Linked DNA regions of Lonchura striata. The protein of the gene in region 2 interacts with the protein of the main gene of each other region in a pairwise test. Links are inferred from orthologs where the notes say so. Each region holds a gene or a part of one and is shown on either strand. Other genes may lie near its edges.

What was found.
Region 1: the proteins of LNX1 (region 2) and C1QTNF1 interact in a two-hybrid assay, tested with the Homo sapiens proteins (2 studies listed by BioGRID and IntAct). The two-hybrid records come from large-scale screens. The link is inferred for Lonchura striata from reciprocal best matches to the Homo sapiens genes LNX1 and C1QTNF1.

The regions. Positions count from the first base shown.
Region 1 is NC_134621.1:11,740,017-11,751,074, reverse strand, and holds C1QTNF1 (complement C1q tumor necrosis factor-related protein 1), read left to right. Parts: upstream 1-5,995; 5' UTR 5,996-6,108; intron 6,109-8,785; 5' UTR 8,786-8,799; coding exon 8,800-8,948; intron 8,949-9,063; coding exon 9,064-9,206; intron 9,207-9,546; coding exon 9,547-10,097; 3' UTR 10,098-10,258; downstream 10,259-11,058. Other genes in the region: CANT1 (soluble calcium-activated nucleotidase 1), read right to left, coding at 1,876-2,246, 2,686-2,889, 3,129-3,747.
Region 2 is NC_134606.1:26,797,812-26,808,563, reverse strand, and holds the start of LNX1 (E3 ubiquitin-protein ligase LNX), read left to right. Parts: upstream 1-5,832; 5' UTR 5,833-5,929; intron 5,930-10,752.

The sequences.
Region 1 (11,058 bases), on a different chromosome or scaffold from region 2:
GGGGACAAGAAGGGACCAAGTAGCAGGGACAGCCACTGGCACAGCCCTGGGATCACAGCAGGTGCTGTGGAGCTGTTGGTGCTGCTGAGGAGGGTGAGTGAGGCCAGGAGAGACTGCCAAGCCAAGTGCCAGTGACGCTTGAGTGGCATCATGGACTGTGGCCAGCTGGCGCCCAGTGTGAGCTGCAAATGCATCCTGGGTGCTCTGGGCCAGGTGCTCCACGATCCCCAGGCCATGTGCAGGGGCCAAAGCCAGGCCTGTCTGCAGCACTGGGGACAGGTCCTGTCTAGAGACAAGTGCAGCCCAGCACTGGCCGAGTCATCGTCTGGGCTAAATGAAAACACATGTCTGGCTTGCACGGCTCACAGAGGTGCTGACACTGTAAACAGGGCTGGGGGGAACAGCCTGGCTGGGTTCTTGGGAGGGCCCCAACCACTCTGCGGATTCCTCCACCCAACCACAGCCTGACTGCTGCACCGACAGCCCCTCTCCCTCCCTGTGCATGGCTGGACCCCACAGCAGAGCAGTGCCCGGGCATGGCAGAGCGATACAGGGGGCACAAGGGCCCCCCAAACCATAGTGGCCAGCTCTCTGAAGCCCTACTTGCTGGCAGACCTGCCCTAGGGGCAGTGTTAAAAAGAAACAAAGTGGGGACACAACAGAGCCAAACACTGGTCCTGGTGTGAGGATATGCTGCCCTGTGACCTGGGGCAGGGCAGACCTGAGCCAGGTCAGTGTGGGCAGGCCAGGAGCCACAGCCTCCTTGGTCAGAGGGGTCAGAAGGGTCCTGGGGCTAGCAGATGCCCCTTTGACACTTGTGGCTTCTGAAACAACACAAGTTCCTCCTGGGGGCCACAGGCTACGGCAGCAATTTCACAACATGCTGGCGAGCATGGGGAGGGCTCCCTGGCCAAAGCCCTGGGCTGCTGCGAGTGCTTCTCAGCTGCTGCCAGCTCTGGCAAGCAGAACTGCAGCTCCTGCCTCTGCTCCTGCATCGAGCACAGCAGCCCTTGGACAGCATGGCTGCACTGTCGCCAGCTCCCAGCAGTTCCTGCCCAGGGCTCAGCTCTTCCCAGAGCTGACAGTTCCGGGGCGGGAAGCATTTCTGGGGCTGGAGCCACGTGCAGCCAGGCCTCGGAGAAGACAGCCAGCACGCACACACACCTCTTGAGGGTGTGGTCTGGGAATGGCGCCAGGGTGGGCCCACTTTACATCATCCCCTGCCCCTTAGGCACAGCCACAGTGGTGAGGGAACTGCTGCCTCCTCCGTGGTCACAGGAGCAAAGGGACACAGACAATACCCCCTCCCATGCAGGACTTTTCTCTGAAACAGGCCACCCGCCACCCCAGCCATCACCTCATCCAGCTTATGGGAAAAGGGAAGGAAATCCAGCTTCTGAAGTAAAAGCCTGATGAAATCCCCACAATCTGACCTGCTCAGGCTGCACATCCCCCTCCACCCAGGGAGCCCCATGGCACACAAGGCACAGCTGTAGAGTTGGGGCTCAGCTGCAATCCCAGAACAGGGACGTCACCAGAGCCACCGACCCACTGCAGATGGCTCTGTCGCAATTCAGGGCAGGGCACTAAGGGCTGCAGTGGGGCCTGTCTAGGCACCAGCACTCCAGGACCTGACACTGTCTCGGGGCCGGGAGCACCCTGTGGTGGCGGTCCATTGCCACCAGGTGCCACTGCCGAAACACTTGCACCACACCTGCTGCAGCTCAGTCAACACTTTACAGGAGAGCCCAGGGCCAAGGACACAGCTGGGAGCACTGCCTGACATCCCTCATGGACCCCGGGCTAGAAGCAGGCTTGCAGGGCCTGCCCATGTCCCTAAGCTGCCCGCATGCCTCCACTCGCTGCAGATGTCTGTTAAATAAACTCAATGCCCTCGTACTTCACGCTCCCAATCCTGGTCTCAGGCAGGAGGAAGCGCCCATCCAGTGTGAAGGCCATGATGTAGCTGGAGATCTTGCCATTGTCCTCTTCAGATTTTAGTGCCACGATGATCTGGTCGTCCGTGTCCGGGATGAACTTGAAGGAGGAGAAGCCATGGGTGGGAACCACATCGCCCACGCGCCCCACTGTCACATCCCCGAAATCCTGGGTGGAGCTGAGCAGCAGGTTGGTGCCTCGCTGCTCGTCCGCCTTCTCGCTGTAGCGCTCGTGGCTGGCGCGGCGCGGCAGGAAGAACCAGCGCTGCAACGTGTCACTCCAGGAGGCCGACTCGTGGATCAGGTACCCTGCGGCAGGAAGCGGAGTCTGACCACACAGACCACAGGGGCACAGCCACGCCAGGATGGGACCCTCCCCCTCCTCTCCTCCTTCCCTTCCAAAACACCCCACAGCCCCGCACAGGTATCCCCTATGAACTTTTTTGCCTGCTCCTGCCCCACTGCCTGGCAGCAGCTCCCCAGTTCCTCCCAGAGTCAGGCAGGGCCACACAGCACATCCCAGTCTGCCTGGGAGCCCAGCTGCCAGGCCCAATGACAACTGAGCCACCCTTCAGATACTCCTGGCACAGGCAGCAGAGGAAAACGACCACGACAAGGTGAGATCTCTGGCCTCTGGCAGCCTCTAAATCTCACCCAGTGCCAGCATCCCTGGGAAGGGTGACTGTATGGCTCTGGAGCCATCAAGAGTGTGGGATATTGGGTGGCAGGAGGTTGCCCTACTCCATACCTGGGGGCCGGATCCCCGCTGCAGCCCTCAGTGTGTTGTAGTTTGTCACCCAGTTCTCGTGGCTCACATCACCCTTGTAGCCAATGACCTTCACCCACTGGGGGTTCTCATTCACCACTTCCCCTGTGGTGGTGGTCCACTCCTTGCCCAGTCCTCCTACATACAGGTGCTCATCCTTCACTGCCAGCCACTCTGCCTTGAAGCCTGTGGTGGAAAGAATGGCATGAGGTGGCTCAGTCAGCACGTAACCATCAGACTGTCCCACATGCCTCAAACCCCACACCCCTGAGCCCAGTGCCGGGCACAGTGTCCCCCACATAGCCAGCTGGTTGCTTGGCAGGAAATGCCCTCTCTTGGCCAGGCTCAGAGGTCACAGGAAAGGTGTGCCCCACCCCAGCAGGTGAAAAGAGCCAAGGGCTTCACAGGGCAGAATGGGAGCTCACCTTTGCCCACAGTGCCGTCCCCATCTGGGAGGATCACCCAAGGCACCACCTTATTGCCCTCGATCTGGTAGACCACACCTGTCCGGTCATCCACTGCGTACAGCTTCCCATTGAAAACCACAAGCTCTGAGAGCTCCATGCCCCGGCCCTTCTCAGCCAGGTGGGACTGCAGCATGCTCTCATCCTTGTCCCACTCCACCATCACTCTGTCCCCACTGTCTGACAGTACCAGGTAGCCCTTCTTCAGGTAACTGAACCAGGTGTGCTCCTGAGAGCCCCGGGACTGCGTGTCCAGGTCTGCAATGACGCCGATGCGGTAGCGCACGCCCTCGGGGTTTCTCTGCGGAGGGGACAGCGGGTAGGTGTCATTGTAGCGGTCCCCTGCCTGCAGGCCAAGCTGCCAGGTGCGAGGGCTGGGGGGGCCATGCCGTGCTGGGGAGGAACGGTGCAGGCAGAGGAGGAACAGCACAAGCCCCACGCAGGCTGAGGACAGCACGATGGCCTTCCAGCGCGGTCGGAAGCGGGGGTCAGCACCCTTGGTCATGGACGCGAGGACAGGCAGACCACCCACGCTGATCCGGAGGGGGCTCATAGACTCATGGCAGGGCGGGACTGGCATCAGACAGGGGGCGAGGAGAACCTGCTAGAAAGAGGGGAGAGAGAAGAGCTGATTTGGTGCTGACTGAGCTGGGGGAACAACAGAACACAGCCATGAGGAGCCCCATCCCCTCTTCTGCTGCAGAAGGTGCTCCCACCCCATGCAGGTACGAGCCACCATACACAGGGGCTGTTTGCTGCTGGAACTACCCTCAGCTCTTCTCACCTGGCTCCCTCTGCGCCCCCTGACCAGGAGCCCCAGCGTCTTGGCAGGATTGCATGACCTGCTCAGCACTTCTACATGTGCCATGGTCACTGCAGCTCAGGCAGCGAGCTGAGGCACCCGGCTCAAGGCAAGCCTCATGTCACTGTGTCCACGTCCCCACAGGCTCCTCGGAGGAAGTGGGTTCCCCTCAGGCAAGGATGACCCTTGCTGCCTCCAGAGTGGTTGAGCAGCCTGGCCCAGCTCCCATGGCCCTGAGAACCGACCCCACTGATGAGCCTTGAGCTTGTCCCCAAGCCACACAGGGACACTTGAGAGACACGTGGCAGCTCCGCCCAAGCAGGATGCCAACACCTGAGCAGGAAGTGCAGTGCCCAAGGGACACACATCCTGACCTGCCCAGCCTCACAGACACGGGACCCCCTCACCCTGCCCAGGCTCACAGCGTGTCCTCCACGTGTGAACATCGTGAGCCCACCCCGGGCTGTGCCCACCCGCGGGCCCGGGGTGCCAGCAGTGCCCTTCGGTGCCACCTCCCTCCCTGCAGCACAGAGGACGTGGCAGCGCCCCGGGCTCCCGCAGACGGGCACTCCGAGCTGCCCCGCCGGCAAGCAGCCATCACTGGACCCGTGCTCAGCCCGTGCCATGCTGCCCGGTGCAGAGACCCCCATCCCGGGGCAGAGATCCCCAGCTGCCATCCCAGGGCTTTCCACAAAGGGCCCATCCCGCAGGGTCTCAATCTGCCTTTCATCAGCCAGAGTGGCAAACAGAGGCGGCATTGAACGTGGGGGGCCGGCCCCGGACAGGGGAGCTGCGGCACAGGCACGGAGCCCACGCTGGGGGCACGGGAGCGCTTCTCGTCCTGCGGCACCCCGGAGCGTGGGCCTCGGCAGAGCCCCGGGGACCCCTCTCGGTGCACTGACACCCCCCCCGTGTTTGTAGCCCGGTCTGAGCACGGCCACGGCGAACCCTCAAAATGCCGGGGCACGGTCACGGGGACCTCCGGGCAGGGACACGGGGACTCCTCGCCCCCTTGGGGACCCTCGCGCCCCCTCCCCGGCCGAGCTGACGGGCAGCTGGGGCACCGCCCGCACTGAGCGCGGCCCTGAGCTCCCCCGCGCCCCCGGGACCTCCGCGCGGGGCGTAGTCCCGAGGAGCCCACCACTGCCGCCCGGGCAGGCTGCTCGAGGTCCGCGGTGCCCCCGTCCGGTGCGGACCCCCGCCTGCCGGCCCCGCGCCCCGCGCCCCCGCCCGTGTCCCCGCTCACCGCGCCACCGCCTCCCCCGCGCGCAGCCGCCGCCGCCACCGCCTACAGTTCCCGGCGGCCCCGCGCGCCGCCGCCGCGCCTGGCAGCGGCCAGACCGCCCCGTCTGGCGGAGAAACTACAACTCCCAGGAGACCCCGAGAGCCACCACCTCCCACCGCCCCGCCCGCTGCTCCGCGGGGCCTGCCGGGAGCTGTGGTCCGTGCCGAGCACGGCCCGCCGGAGCCGGGCGCACCGCACGGGCGGCTGGAGCCCAGCGGCGGGGGCAGTGCGGGGGCCGAGCCGGCTCTGCGGGGTGGGCACAGCCCGGCTGCCCGGCGGGCATCACCCCCGCGCTGCCCTGCTCCAGCTCGCAACATAACTCTGTCCTTGTCCTGGTTGCCCCTTGTGTCCCGCCGCTAGTCGGGGTGGGGAGCGGGGTAGACCCAGCCCCGCGCCTTGGGACCCATGTACGTGTCCGGCTGTCAAAGGCTGGAGACCGGTGGGGCCGTGCTGGCCGCGGTGCCCTCGGGGCTGAGAACGGCCTCGGCGCCGCCGGCACAGGGCAGGGTCCTGCGCCGGGGCGAGCTGCACCCTCCGGCTGGCACGTGCCGCCTCCGCTCCCGGTGCGGCGGCCCCAGGTGGCTGAGGCGGCCGGTACCGGGAACACGCATGGTTAATGTTATGAACGGTTAAGGCAGCCGCGGGCGCACATCTGGCGGGGGAGGGCTGCGAGCCTCGTCCCGCGCCTCGCTGCCTCCTGCGCTTCCAAAAAGTGTATTTCCGCCCGGGCCAAGCGGGGAGAGGCGGCTCTGGAACGGGAGGCAGCGCTCGGCCGTGGGCAGGCTCTGCGCTGGGCCGGGCGATGCTCTAGGGCAGCAAAGGCAGCGCCGCGAGGGAGAAGCCGTGCCCCAGAGGTAGGTGGGGGGCAGCTGCGGGAGACCTGACGCTCGCCCCCGGAGCTGCAGGGGCCGTGCTCCCGTCTGCGGGCGGTGCCGAGGTACCGGGAGGCGGGTCCGCTTCGCCAAGCGCTCGGGTGTCCTTGCAAAAGCCCAGCCAGGCGGGTCGGTCCCTGAGCCCCCCCAGCCGAGCCAGGCCGCTGTCCTGCCTGCGAAGGAGCAGTGGGGACCACATGGCTGAGCCTTACAGTAGTCTGGGGCACAGCCCGACCCACCGCAGCTCTGGGAGGACACAGATCCCCCCCAGCCCTGCCCCAGCTGCGTTCCCAAAAAACTCATGGCTACGACCACATCAAGCCCACGCTGGGCTACCTTCGGTATCTCTTTGGGGGTCACAGTAGCTGTTGGGGTCCCCAGCACAACATCTTGCTGGTGCTACAGAAGTTGGAGGGCTGCAACTACCCCGGGCTCCTTCCCCACATCTGCCCCATGCAACCCACACCCTGCTGCCTGCTGGCTCTGCCCTGCTCCAGGGGAAAAAGGGCTCTGTAACCATTCCAACATCAGCAGCAGCACACAGGGGACCTGGCCCACCAGCTGGACCCCAGAGGCACAATGGTTCTGGCTGCTGTGGTGCAGGGAAGTTTGTGTCCACCACCCTAAACAAAGACGATTGCAGGTACTGCTGCCTCCACACTGCCCCAAGCCCCTCATCCCTTCCCTAGGATTTGTTCACTTTCATCCTAGTCTTCATCTCCAGCTGGAAAGTATTTTGGGATGTTTTGACTTGCAGTCCCAAGGCTTCTGCAGCCACTATGTTTAAATCTTGCTCCTGGAGAGCAGCCAGCCCTGAGGGAAAATGCATATCCCTGGCAGGGCTGTGTACACCTGTGTGCAGGTGGGCACCTCCTGCCCAGCACGCCTGCAAGGTACAGTGGGGGCATGCTGGGGACCCAGCAAACCCCGTGTGCTGCTGACAGCAGCCTGCACGCACCGCACACTCGCCTCTGCTCCCAACAGCCTGGGAAGCGCTGCCTTCCACCATGGGAACTTCCTGGTGAAGGGTTTCTCCTTGTGGAGCAGCTCCCTGTGACACTGCGTTTTCCCCAGGGCCAAGCCTGCTCCAGGTCCCAGAGGAATGCCTGGCGTGACGGTCCCAGAGCTGAGGGAAAGCCACAGGCTTCCCAAACCTCGGCACGCCCGTGCCGTGCTCAGTGCTGTGCGTCCGGCGCAGCTGGAGGCCCGGCAGGCTGAGCAGAGCCAGGGCCAAGGCTGCCCACAAGGCCCTGGCTGGCCTCCTCCACGCCCTGTCCGTGGATCCACTTCTCCCCTGCCTCCTCCAACCTGGCAGCACCGAGGCAACGGGATGAGAGACAGAGACACCGGGAAATGTATGCCGGGGCCAGGCCCTTGGCAGAGGGTTTGAGCAGCAGGAAAAGCCCTTTGGAGTCTTTTCCAATCCCTCCGCCCCTTCACAGCTCCAGTGACTCATAATCCAGGCATCCGGCCCCGGCCTCAGACGCCCTCCGCACCCGCTGCGGAGCGCACGCGGTCCCTCGGACCCCGCACCCCGGGACAGTGGGACAGCCACCGACTGGAGACCCCGGTGCTCTGAGAGCAGGCGCTCACCAAAACCACGGGGTTCTGCCCCAGAATCCGCCATGGCCCGGCTCAGCCGCAAAACACAGGACAGGGTTGAGAGGGCGCTTTGCCCTTGGGACCGGCGCTCCGGGGTCGCGGCGGAGCCCGTGGAGTACAGCCGGGCGGGACGAGGGCCGAGGTCACACCCACGGCCCAAGCCAGGGAGGCACCTGGCTGCGATAGCAGCGGGGACAGCGGCCGTCCCCGTCCCGGCTCGGAGCCTGCTGCCGCGGGATGCCCAGCGCTGGGCAGTGCTACACCCCTGTTTGGCCAAGGCTGTCCCGGTGCCACCGGGCCAAAGGGCGAGGTGCTGCGTGCCCGGCCCCACGTCTCCAGCAGATACGGTCCTGATAATAGAGGGAGGGGTCGTGAAGTCCCCGGGCTGGGCCACAGTGCCACCACCACTGCAAATATTAGTTTTGGCCCCATACAGGGTGTGGGCTTTTGGGAAGGTTTCAGCCAGCTCCCAGATAGGGCTGCCAGCCCACGTCCCTCTTTCTGGAACAGTGGGTGTTGCCCCCTTGCAAACCCTTGGGCTGGCAGCCCCCAGGGCACAGGAGCCCCTCACAGGAGTGGGGTGCAGCTGCCCTCTCTGGGCCCGGCTGGGGTCCCACACACAGGTCGGGCTGCACCCTGACATTTGCCCCATGGCATCTGGAGCTCTCTGTAACTTTTTAGGTGCTGACATCCTAAATTGCTGTTCTTGGGTGTCTATGGGAGGCAGCTGAAACCAGGCTGAGCAGGAGCAGCAGCACTTGGTCCAGGACTTGGCCCGCTCAGAGTCTGCTGCTCTGCTCCACTCTCAGCTCCTGAGGTAATCCCATCTGCCGTATGTGCCAGGGCTCAGGGGCTGCACATGTTGGTGAGGCCAGAGCCCCCTAACTGCCTCAATGTGGGTCTCCACCGGTGCTCACTGGGGTGACACTGTTCCATAGCCCAGCCAGACCCCAGGGGTTGTGCAGTGCACAGGTCCTGTCCCAGGACAGCTTGGGGCATGGCTGGGCTGGGAGTCTCCTCATTCCTGTCCCACTCAGCTGTCCCTGGCACCTCACAGGGCACTGCCAAGGCATGGAGGGGCTGTGGGTGCAAGGTGTCCTGCTGATCTTCCTGCTGATCTTCCTGCTGCCCTGCCCTGTGGGGAGCCAGACCAGCTCCATCCCTGCCCAGCGATGGTGGACAGACCCCAATGAGGCCCCATCCCAGCACCAAGCTGCCAGGTGAGGGGACCCCAGAGCCAGGGTGCTCTGCAGCCGGGGCCAGGGCAGCCCTGGCACTGGAGAGGGGTCCCAACCCCCATAGCTGCCTGTTGCACTTTGCTTTCTGCCTTGCCAGGGCCACACAGGAGCAGAAGGTTGATGATGCCCAGGAGGGGCTGCCCCCACAGCCCCGCTGTGTCCGCTGCTGCCCCCCACCCGAAAAGCGCTTCTACCCCCACTACCAGCCTGTGCCTCAGATCAACATGACCATCCTGAAAGGTGAGGGCTGGCAGGACCCCAGGCTGTGTTGCCAGCATTGCCCCAGGTCCAGTGCTGAGCTGGGCTCACAGTGCCAGCTCCTGCACAGACTGGGAATGAGAAACTGGGGTGGTGCCAGTGGTTCTGTGTCCTGCACAGACAGGGCAGGAGCCACACTTTGGTGTGAGCAGCCCCTGTTGTGGTGGCTTCTAGGCAGCAGCATCAGAGCCTCGGGAGGGGCAGGGGCAGGACTGGTAGGTCCCTGCTCCTTCCATCCCCCTCTGGGGAAGGGGCTTTTGGGGTGCCGGGTTCAGCTGTGGCCCCTGCCTGACAGCCCAACTCTCCCTCCTGCTCCACCCAGGAGAGAAGGGGGACCGCGGTGAGCGTGGCATGCAGGGCAAGTTCGGCAAGACGGGGGTGGCTGGCAGCAGGGGCCACGCAGGGCCCAAGGGACAGAAGGGCAGCATGGGCGCCCCTGGGGAGCGCTGCAAGAGCCACTACGCTGCCTTCTCCGTGGGCCGCAAGAAACCCCTGCACAGTAACGACTACTACCAGACCCTCATCTTTGACACGGAGTTTGTCAACCTCTACGAGCACTTCAACATGTTCACGGGCAAGTTTTACTGCTACATCCCTGGAATCTACTACTTCAGCCTCAACGTGCACACCTGGAACCAGAAGGAGACATACCTGCATGTCATGCACAATGGGGCAGAGGTGGTGATCCTCTACACCCAGGTGAGCGACCGCAGCATCATGCAGAGCCAGAGCGTCATGCTGGAGCTGAAGGAGCAAGATGAGGTCTGGGTACGGCTCTACAAGGGTGAGCGTGAGAACGCCATCTTCAGCGATGAGTACGACACCTACATCACCTTCAGTGGCCACCTCATCAAGTACAGTGGGGACCCCTGAGCACCGGGCCCTCCCACTCCTGTGCCAGGCCAGGTGGCTGAGGAGCCCCTGTCCCTCTCATCCCAGGAGTGCCACCCCCATTATGCTGTTAGTCACCCTAGTGCCACTACCCCAGCAGCTGCACCAGTGTGTGAATTCCCTCACTCCAGCACCTCAAGGCTAACCACACACACCTGGAAGACGGAGCAATTGTAAGCCCCTGCCACGTTGGTGACCAGGAAGCAGCTGCTCACCTGGGGTGGGCAGGGAGCTCACCCCTTCTCTCTGCTCCAGACCTGGGTTTGCCAGGCTCAGCCTGTCACAGCTCTGGCTGAGCTGGCACAGCAGGACAGTGTGGCCGCTGGTGCCCTGGTGCGAGGCAGCGCAGACACCTGCACTGTGCCATTTTCACCTCCTGGCTCCTGGCTGTGCTCCCTGGCTGGAATGGGCAGAAGGTGCTCAGCACCATCCAGAAAGGCAATAAACCACTAAGGGCCTCCTTCCTTCCCTGGTGCAGGTGTTGCAGTGGGGGGCTGGGTCCCCCTGTGGGGAGTGAGTTTCATCAGTTCCCTCTGCAGATTCTGTTGCTGCTCACTGCAGCCTCTGCTCAGGAAGGGCTCTCTCCCCACCAGCAGCCCTGGGTGTGGGGCCTCTGGCCTCAACCACTTCCTCTTCCCTTAGGTTATCTGCTGACCAGGCCTCCTGTTTGTGTAGATGCAGCAGCAGCATGGGCCAGCATGCTGACCCCCTCATTCAGCTCACACCACATTAAACACCTCACATTTCCAGCCTTGCTCACACCCTCAGTGTCCTCGTTTTGTGTGTGGAGAGGCTCCAAGTGATTCAGGGCAAGGTTCTGCTCCTGGGGTGCAGGGGCTCCCCAAGAGCTGAGGGCTGGCATGGTGCTGCTGGGCTGGGGGTGGAAAGGGAAGAGCAAACTGTCCCTGGAGAGCTGGGAGACGTGTGCCAGGCACTGCATGGG
Region 2 (10,752 bases):
AATCATGGAGAAAAACACAGGGTCCATTTGCACTGCAGCATGCCATGGCAGCCTGGTGCATGAAGTTACCTTGTAAAGGTGCCAGGTCAGGACCATGAGGGGAAGGGGGTGGCCTTCCCCTGCATATGCACATGGGAAGCTAGGTATTGCTCCAGCACTATAATGACAACACCGGGCTTAATACAAATATTGCTATCTCTAAAAAAAAACCAACAAACAAACAAACCCTAAAAAATAGATTGGAAGTGATGATGTATGCTAAATGCTGTCCTTTTTAAAGGTCTGATCTCTACTTGCTTTGATTTCAGTGCTGGTCTTCATCAGTGTCATTTTTAACACTGCACACTTGGACCACTGAATAGCAGCGATCCCCGGCACGATGTAGCGGATGGTGTTAAGACTCCAGCCTAATACTTGAGACGCCTTGGTTTTATTCCCTTCTTTGATGGTCTAATCCCAGATTCATCCCAGCTAAATTTAGGAACTGCCTGAAGTAGGAGCTTTGCCTCCTTTCCAGAGGAGCCAGGGAGGATGCTGGGCTGTGTCTCTCTATCCTATGTATTACTTAGAAGCTGGGGAGGGAGCTGAGGACATTGGGGAGGGGCTGGGAAAATATAAAGAGACTGGAAAAGAAGAGGGACTACTACCAAGCACTGAAGTGAAGGACTAACTCTCAGGTAAAATCCATCAATTTTCATCGCTGAAGTAGGAGAAATGGGAAAAAATGTTAAAAAAATGAGAAATGTTAAAAAAAGAGTGAGGAGGAGAAATATGTGGAGCATAGTGAGGCATGTTGAGACAGTAATGGGGAGAAGGGCAGGGAACTTTAATTTAGAGACCAATCCCAGCCTGTTTCTTTATGCACCAGTGCTGCATACCAAGTACTCTTGAGGATTTGAAAAAGCTAGCCTTTCCTTATGGACTTGTCACGCCAAAGCTTGGATTCTCTGTTACAATTAGAAAACAAAGTGACAGGCAAGCTGCTGTCTTTCCATAGATCTCTGGAAGAGGTTCAGAGGATGGGGTGAACCATACTCAGGGGAAAGAAGTGTTCACAGGGTTGCCAGTAGCAGCACTGCTTGGTACATCAGCTTACACAGAAAGTGCCCTCATGAAAGAGAAGAAATGGTAGATTGGCAGATGTTGTGATGTTGAGCATATGAAGATTAGAGCAGATGTAGTATTTAAGACTCTGTAGTATGTGGCTACAGATCATCACCAGAACATGAAGAGAAAAAAATCACTGGATTTCCACAAGCAGATGTTAATGCACCAAAGCTGGCTTCTTCTTAATGATTTGCCTTTTTGTTTGTTTGTTTTGATGAGTACAGCAAGTATGTTATTATGTGACTGTGGTAAAGAGCAGTGGTCTCTAATGATCACAACAGATTAATCCTTACGAAAGCTCTGTGAGTAGTAGCATTATTATTAATGCTGGCAAAAGTACTTAAAGGCAAAGTATGAATAAATGCAAGGTGTTCACATTAGCATTCTGTATGTTTGATAATGAACAGCCCCATGGACGTGCATTTGCTCTCACCATCTCCTCTGGAGCCTGCCACAGATGAAGAATGGGCAAAGTGTTGCACTGATCCTGAAGATGATTCTTGACTTTTAGGAAATGTCGTCCTACATCCTGTTGTAGCTTTGTTGTGGTTGTTGATATTGCTGGTTTCCTTTATTTCTGTAGTAGGAAGTCTGGGGGATTTGAAGCGTGTCTAAAATGCTTCTATTCATTTGTATCTTAGTGGACTTTGACTGTAATATGCAAAATAGCTTTATATAAAACAAATTACAAAAGTACATATAATTACAGAATATATATATATATGTATGTATATATAAATATATATATAATTACAAATAACCAAAAAGCTGTCACTCTACATTAAAAAAAACGAAAAGGAAGATGTTTAAAAAAAGGGGAAAATTAAATATTCCTGGCAGCTTCCCTGCAGCAGATCCACTATGCAGAAACCATGTAAAAATACTGACTTCCTCTCCCTCTATCATTATTCTCTTTCTCTACATTTATGATTTTTTTTAACTGTTTGATAATTTCTTTCTCATTCCTAACACAAGTTTCCTGAAAGTCTTGTTACTGGGTTGAGGGTAAAATCAGATTCAGAAGAAAGTTTCTATTTAGTGACTGGGCATGTGGAACTTCCCAGTAGCCTGTGAAACTTGGTGCTCCTGCTTCTTGGGCAGAGCTGTGCTTGGAGCAGCCACAGGAGGTGGTGCCCCACTCCTGAATCGCTAGATTTTTCCCCTGAAGGAAGAACCAGAAGCATCTCCTTGAAGCCTTACAGGTGGGGCAGCATCCTGCCAGTCAGCACCAGCTGTTAGCCAGTCACCCCTCCAGGCAGTGGCATCCTGAACACTTCAAGCTGCCTTGACTTGGTCACTTAATTGGATGGAGGGACAGGTTGAATTTTGCCCTCAGCTTCCTGAGCTTGTCTGCACAAGTCACTCCACTGTCCTTGTCCCTGCTGTGCATCCCCAAGTTCTATCTTTAAAGTGAGATAAAATGAGCTGCCAAGGTTTTGGGTGACTTGTCCAGGGTACCTTGATGGGTCATTTGGTCAAGCAAGGTGGGAGCAGATGTTGTTTTGTCAGCACAGATGCTGCCCTGGACAGAATGGTGTGTTCCTCAGCTCCTTGTCTCTTGGGAAAAGTCATCTGTGAATGTGCAAGAAACATGCTGGACCTTATGAACAACAACTGGAAAAGAGACAAGGGATACTGCTGTTTTATTTATTTACTCATGTGCTCCCAAAGTGGCAGTGTGGCCAGAAGCACTAATGGGGCTTTTTGAATATGGGTTCAGGAAATGCTCCTGGGGTTTCAGTCTAGGGCAAAGATGTCATTGGTGTGAGAGAAATTTTGGTCTGGGAATGAAGGTGTGTGTGTGTCCAGAAGGACTCTGACCAAGCTGTTCAGCATTTGAAGAGAGGGATGAAGGGAACCTGAAGATTATAAGCATTTCCCTGGAAAATAAAACCCTCAGGCCTTGACACACATCCTGTGGCATATAGCAGGCTGTTAACTAGGTGTTAAACTACTGAGTTTTATAGTGCATTCTTCATCACTGAGAGTTTTTGAAACCACAAGTTGATTTGTTAGTAAATGTAACTAAAATGGATGTGTTTAGTTCAAACTGGCATTCATTCAGGGAAGCCTTCTCACCTGTGTAGTAAGGCATATCAAATTGGATACTTGTGCTAGTCCTTTTGATTTATGAATTTATTAACATTTTTTTCAAATAGTGTGTTCACTGAATATATTTCACAGACTGGAAAAGATGTTCTGTGTGATTGTAAAACTTGTTGTGGTCAGCAGTTTGTAGTAATTTTTGAACAGGAATGCATTTTCCTGCAAAGTACAACTAACTTCCACCCCCTCCTCTTCGCCTCCACCCTGGCTTGTGAGTTGGTTCCAGTTTCAAATACTTAATCATGGGAATTTTTGGTGTTTTATATTCTGGATAGAATTCAGAGATTGCAAACTTTCTGTGATCCACTTTATTGCAGCAAGATTCTTTCCAGAAACATTATACTGTGTGTTGCTGTTTTGTGACTGGGGCATGTGGTAAATCTACTTCAAGAATGAGTCAGTGCCAGATTTCTATGTTGTCATGCATATAGACCAAAATAAGAAACATCTGTCCTTTTTTATTTAATTAATTGAAAAGAAATATATAAGTACAAACTATTATAGGTAATACAAGGTGATGCACAAGTGAAATAAAAAGAGCCACTTGGAAGCGTAGTCTGGAGTTTATTTTTAAAAAAGTAAATCACTAAATATTATTTACTAATAATTAATCTTGACATTTAATATTCTGCATCTCTCTAGGGGTCACCACTATTTGTCCTGTGATGATGACCTGTGTCTATGTGGAATGCTATTATCATCTTTCAGGGTCTGAAATCAATTGCAATTTTTCACCTCTGTTGAAGCTTGCTGTTGTGTTTTTACATATTGACTCCAATTCCATATTTTAGAAATTATTTTTTCTTTCAAAATGTTTTATTGCTGTGCTGTTCTTTGGGTCCTTCTTTAGAGGGACACATCCTTCCCTTCTGTTCACATTTTTCATGCAGAGCAGATTCAGCATAACTGTATGGAAACCTGTTCCTGGCCCTGAAAGCTAAAATTGGAAGTATACTTCTCGTAGGTTAGTGTAAATAAAACCCAATTAATTTTGCTTTAATAACTGCAGGCAGGATGAACCTTAGCTCAATACAAATTTTTCTATAAGCTCACAGGCAGTCCTCTCAATAAAGACAACAAAATTACTGTCATATTTATCATGCTGGGGTGTTTCAGCTCCATGGGATAAACTTGGCAGTGTTCTTCTGAGTTCTTGGAAAGCAGCCCTATACATCTCAGTTTGCAGCATTCCAGCAGATCAGGAAAAAACTATCTCTCTTTTTTCACCCTTCATATTTCATATAGTGATAGTGCTTTCCCTGAGTGCTTGTTACAGTTATTTTTTTGGAAAACAACATGCATTTTTCTGTACAATGTTGGCCGATAACACAACAAGACTATACCAGTGCTCTTCCCTTAGATTAAAAAATCTCAGTCTAAACAAGATTGAGAGAGTAAGGGTTGAGTGAAATGTTTTAGTTCAGAATTTCTTCATGAACCTAGGCAGAATTTTAATATGTTTTGGAAAAAAGCAAATTATTTATTTTGGGGGAAGGCAGGTTATAATTGTAGAAGCCTCTGTATCACCTTTAAAATATCATAAATATAACTAATATATAACTAATATAACTAAAATATAACTAAAGATTTACATAATTTTTATATTTGGTTCAAAATGCTTTGCAAATTTGATCATAAATATTTCATGTTCCTGAATGAAATAATTTCTTTTGGTTTACAGAAAACTTTGAAAAATAACTATAGTTTTTTTTAGCAGAATTGTAACCACTCAGATATTCAGTCACATGTGTCGCTCCTTGCCCTCATATTTAGAGCCTTCTCAAAATTACAGGAAGGTGTAAAATAGCAAATATTTTAAAATTTTTTTTTTCACTTTTGTTTCTAATTTTTCCTGAGCAGTGTTTGTCCTGTCTGGTACTTGCTGCCATGTGACTTCTTGTGACAATTCTGCCTTTGTGTGTGCATCAGTAACTTAAATGTTGGACACAGTGCTTTGGACTTTCGTTAAGACCAAAAAGTAATATTACTGAAAAAGTATTAGTCAGATACAATAGATAATTTTCTTCAAATTTCTACTTTATATTTGTCCTGCTGTTCTTCTAATACCTCATTAGGCACTTTTGCTTGCTCATGGAGACGTGCATTTCACAAGCATTCACTTCCTTTGCTCTTACGGTAGTTTTAGTTGTTGGTGATCATGACAAATTGAAATCGAGCAGTTGTAGCAGTTTAGTGAAGATTCAACAAGACAGGAATGTCAAGAGTGCACTAGCTTGTTTTTAGGAGCACTATCAATGCTCCCTTTATCCTGTGGGAACAGTTGTGCCTTTGTTTTGGTGGTGCTGTTTTTTGGAAGATGAGTGAATAAGAGACCATTGATACTTTTCCCCCCACAAAATCTCATGTGTGTTCTTTGCCTGGCATGCTGCTCTCTGAAGTGTAAAACTAGTGTGTCACTTGATTTTCACATATTTAAAGACCTAAAAATGGGGGAGGAGCAGTGAGTACCAACTCTGCAGGTACTACTGGATTATTTTATCCTGAGACTCATAAAATGAGGCTATTCCCTGGCAAAACCACGGAGCACCAGTGCCGGGTTCCCAGGCCTCTAACAACTAGACACGTGTTGATGAAGGATGAGGTAATTTCCAGATGAAGGGTGGACAGTGCTGCAGGAGTAACGGGGCAGGACAGCTGTGGTGGGGATGGTCTCCTCACAGGTGGCTCCCACCGTTGGGCTCCGTAGGCGTCTGAGGTAGGTCCCGCAGAGGGAAGGAGCAGGGAAGGTGGAGGAAAACAATGCGTCACTACCAGTTCGCTCTGTGCGTACCTATTTTTTTCATTCAGTTCTCCCTTTGGTTGTAACAGGACAGACTTTGCATGACAGATGGCTTATTGTTTCTCTCCTATAAGCTGCTAAAAGATTTCTGAGCAGGAACTCACAGTGTTCCTTTGGGAAAGGCACTTTGCAAGATCTGGGCACTGTCTTAAGGGACTCGAGATCCAAATCACGTAGACCATGGGCAGAAAAAAAGTGGGGGGGGCTTAATATGTAGCATTCAAAAATACATTTGCTGCTTGTACTAGACCCTCTTTAGTCTGGGATTCAGAAAACATAATGATTTCCAGATATAGCCAGTATTAAAAAATACAATGTTTTGGTGTTAAAATGTTAGTTGAAACTAATGGAAAAATACTGAAAATATAATCTTCCTGTAGAAAAAATCAATCTAAATTTACATATTGATAAGAAGCACAGGACCTTTAGAAACATCCATAATGAACCTTATGCTTTTGTAGATGGTAGAGAATGTAAGCAAATTTAATCAATTCTTTTCTAGTATTTTTTAGTTATTACAAAAATTGTGTCTAAATATAAGTATATAATAGTTGTGGAAATAAAATATACAGAATATTTCAGCTTAGATACTCAAGGTCTATCTGGTCTATACCCACAACAGCGAGTGGCTAGACCTCTGGCCCTGTATTTTAGTGCTAGAGGCCCTAAAATACAGGGCCAGAGAAGGCACACTACATAAGGAATGGTTACTCAAAATCAGGGAATATGTTCTGTGTAAATTTCTTTCAGAATTCTCTATACCATAAAGTAAGACAAGAGCCTGGCTCTGGCTGTTTCAGTTTCACAATAATATTTTTATGGATGTGGTATCAATTTAAAGCTCATCCTGTGGCTTTAATTCATCACATGAAAGCTGACTAATCTTTATGTATATTTGTGGATATTTTAGCAAGCACAAAATAACATTATGCTTAATAACAACTTATTCCTTTATTTGTTTTGTTTAAAGATATCATGAATATTGAAGAGCAAGTTTGATTAACATTAAATTTGTTTGTGGTTCTCAGGAATATCCAGTATCTTACAGAATCATGGTAGAAAGTAGTGGAAGAATAACCAGGTGTAGACTTGCAGAAGTAAACAAACCTAAATTTTTTTACCTTACGACTAAAAGAAAATGTGTTATACCTCTGGCCTGTCATTCAAAAGTTTTGGTGATATTCCTAAAAATACAGAAAAAAAACATTCAAACCTGGCCCTGTAAGAAGACAAAAGGTTACAATTTAAAAAACTCAAAAAGTGCCACCAGAAAAAGACAACTTTTGAGCAGGCTGGTGTGAGGTGCTGAACAAATGCAGAGCTGGACCCCTAAGTGTTTAGAGCTGGATCATGTAAAAGGCTACAGACAACAAGCTACTTGTTTCCTCTCAGGAATCATGTGAAAGCTTTCAAACCTTCCACAGTAGGTGAGATCTTACCTCCCTCTAAGTTAGTGGGGCTTTATACTGACTCACCTAGGAGCAGGCTTACATTCTCATGATCTGATAAAAGTAATGCTGAATGAATTAAAAATCATGTTCTCAGAGATGTTCTGGCTCGGTGTTAGACCTTTGAGTGATGCAATATCTTTTCTGTTTTCCTGTGAAGATCCATTACTTGATAAACCTCATTATTAGTTTTGGGGTATTTTTGTTATTGTTTCTTTTTCTTTAATGATTCCCATGTCAACTTCCCCAGATTTGAATGACATAAGGAGCTCCCTTGGTGACCAAATTCCTGTTAACAGTTTAAATGTGTTCGGGGAAGGGAGGAGGATTTGCACTCAGCAAAGGATCTCCAGCTCACAAGCTCTTATTTTATTCTTTTTACTTGAAGCTTCATAACAAGGATGATTTATTTGCAAATGAGTTACTTTAATAATAGGTTTAGAGTTACATAGAATATAGACAATCTTGACCCCCATCTCTGCAGCTGTAAAAGTAACAGCATGGGTGTGGTTGCCTGGTGGCTGGCCAGGATGATCCAGTTCAAGGGGGTGGATAAAATAACATTTACACTTACAGTAACTGTTTAAAAATGTAATTTGAGTTCTGCCAAATCCTTCCAGTTCATTTTGGGAATCCAGCTTATTAAGGCTGCCAACACTCAATTCTTCACACCTTAGTTTCTTCCAAGTTGTCTCCTTCTGCCAGATGCATTTTGCTGCAATACTGTCACTGCAGAGCATGAGGTTCCTCCACCAGCCTTGCTGTGTACATGGTTCTGGTGGGACTCTCCTTGCTGTGAGCCTGCCCAAGCAAGAAGTGACTGAGCCTGGCCCGTGAGACTCAGCATGGAGGGAGGACGCAATCCCAGAGGAAGTGTTCCACTTACAGACAGCTCTGTTTGTGTCTGCTGCAGTAAATGCTCCCAAGACAAGTAGGGTCAGGCATTTGTTGGATCTTGAGAAAGCATGTGGTGGAGAAGATGGAGGCTTGGAAGCTGGAACTTGTCGGTCTGAGTTGGAATTTCAGAAGTGTTCCCAGGCAGTGTGGGCAATGGGAATCAGGCACCATGTCTAAACAACAGAATGAGGTCTTGAACACTTTGCAGACCCACAGCTGCTTAAAAAGGGGCAAGTGTTGTCTGAAATAGCCAGTTCGCTCCAAATGGACTAAGTGCTCACTCTCTCAGTGTTCCTGCTAAGGCAGCACTTGTTTGAGGACACAGGGTGATCCTGCACTGTGGCTGGCAAGGCTGTCACACATAGCTTTGCTGTGTCTAGTCCTTGCAGCTCTAACCTGCCTCACCACAGTGCTGAGCAGTTGTGAAGTGCTGCAGCACTCTGGAACAAAAAGTGGAAGGCAGCAGTTATGGATAGGAATAGCAATCACTTCCAGTGCCATACTGTGAGCTGTGCTTACTCGTGTAAACTGATGCATTATAGGGGTTTTTAGATAAGGAGCCCCAGCAGGGTGGTGCTTGGGCTGCTGCTGCTATTGCAAAGAAAATTGTTTCAGAGAGTTTGCAGTCTCTGCTGTTTCAAGGTCTATGTTCACAGCAAGTCAGTCCAACCCAGCATTTGGGAATACTCACAAAGCTCTTGCTAACACCAACCTGTCGCATGACAGCATCCATAACTAATGCAGAATGGTTCACAGATCTTAAGACCTTAGGGTCCACTGTCTGCCCCGTCTTTATTATACCATCATATTTCGTTCACTTTGGGTAAAATACGTGTTTTTCAAATCAGCATCTAGTCTTGAATATGAGAGAGGTGTAGAATCACCTCTTCAGTGACTTGTTCACATGGCAAATTATTGCATGAACTTGTTAAATCAATCTTTCTCCCTTGAATTTAGCAAAGTTCTTCAGGTTAAAAAGATGTGCTTTTTTTCAGATTAAAAAGCAGTCTTAGTACCTTTTCTTTGTGAAGGTATACACAGGTGCACATGGTCACCAAGTCAGCCTTGTTTTGTGTCTTGATCCTGCAGTGTTAAGATTTGTGTTCTTTTGTCCACTATCTTCTCTTATCCAACACAATTAGAACCCTTTGCTGATTTCAAACAAGTTTGAAAGAGTGTAGAAGTCTCAAAGAAACTTCTTGCAGGCTTGATGAAAAATTGGCCTGGGCAGAGGAGAGAGATTCAGACAAGGGAGACCTCATGTGCCATACACTATTTGGCAGCACATGGCCAGCCAGTCAGTGGGAAGGTATTTATAGGCCACCTGCAGTACACATTAGAGGAGTCAGAATAGACACCAAACTGGGAAGACTTTTCCTCAAGTTTTGTTTACATCAAGCCCATTTGCACTAAAAAATTATATGAATTTATGCATCAGGAAATGTGCTGTTCATAGAACATGTTCTCTTTATTTTTTTTATAAAACTTATTGGTTTTAACTTTTTAAGCTTTTCAGTAAATTCTATTTTCTTCTGCTCTCAAGTCCTCTGTGTCTTCTTGTCTTTCCCTTTTACTCTCTCCAGATTTTTCAAAACCTAAAGTATGTGTACCAGACTATATGACTATATGTACAAAACTGTTACTGATTTTAACAATGTCTTGTTCACAGACTTACTTTCTCCTTTCTTCAAAACTTTCCAGCTTTTCTTGCTGTAGCTTTGAAAGGTGAATGTTGCTTATGTGTCATGAACCCCAACTAGACCTTGTAGCTGATGATTTTTAATGTGGTGACTACCCAGTTCTGCAGACAGAGGCTGTTTCTGAAAGCATGGCCATTCTTGGCTCTGGACACAGTCTCTAGAATAATGTGAGGAGTTTTCCAGATCACTCTATTCAGCCGCTGTGGTATTCTCAGCAGGGCAAGAAGCCCTTAATCAAATTAGTTTTAGCTGATAATTATTTTTTCTTCTACTGAAGTAAAATACCATAGCGCTTTTGAATAGTGCCCAAAAAACTCTGAAATAGAAATGAACAAACTACATTGTCTCATATATGAGAGCTAAAAATTACATCACTGATGGAGTAAGACATCACTGAGGACAATATAATAATATTTTAGAATAAATCTGCTCATTTTCCATAATACACTGACTTTCAGTTAGTCTGCAACAAAAAAGTGGTGGCTTGCCTGAGGTCCTACATACATGGTGTCAGATGATCATCAGTGTCTTTAGAACCACTGCATATAGACTTTATGAACATATAACTCTGCATTTAATTTTATATTAAATTATTTTATTTATTACTATTTTTTATTTTAAATTTATTTTATTTTTATATTTTCCTTACCAGGAGAATATTCTTAACAAGTTCATTGAAAGCCATTGGATACTC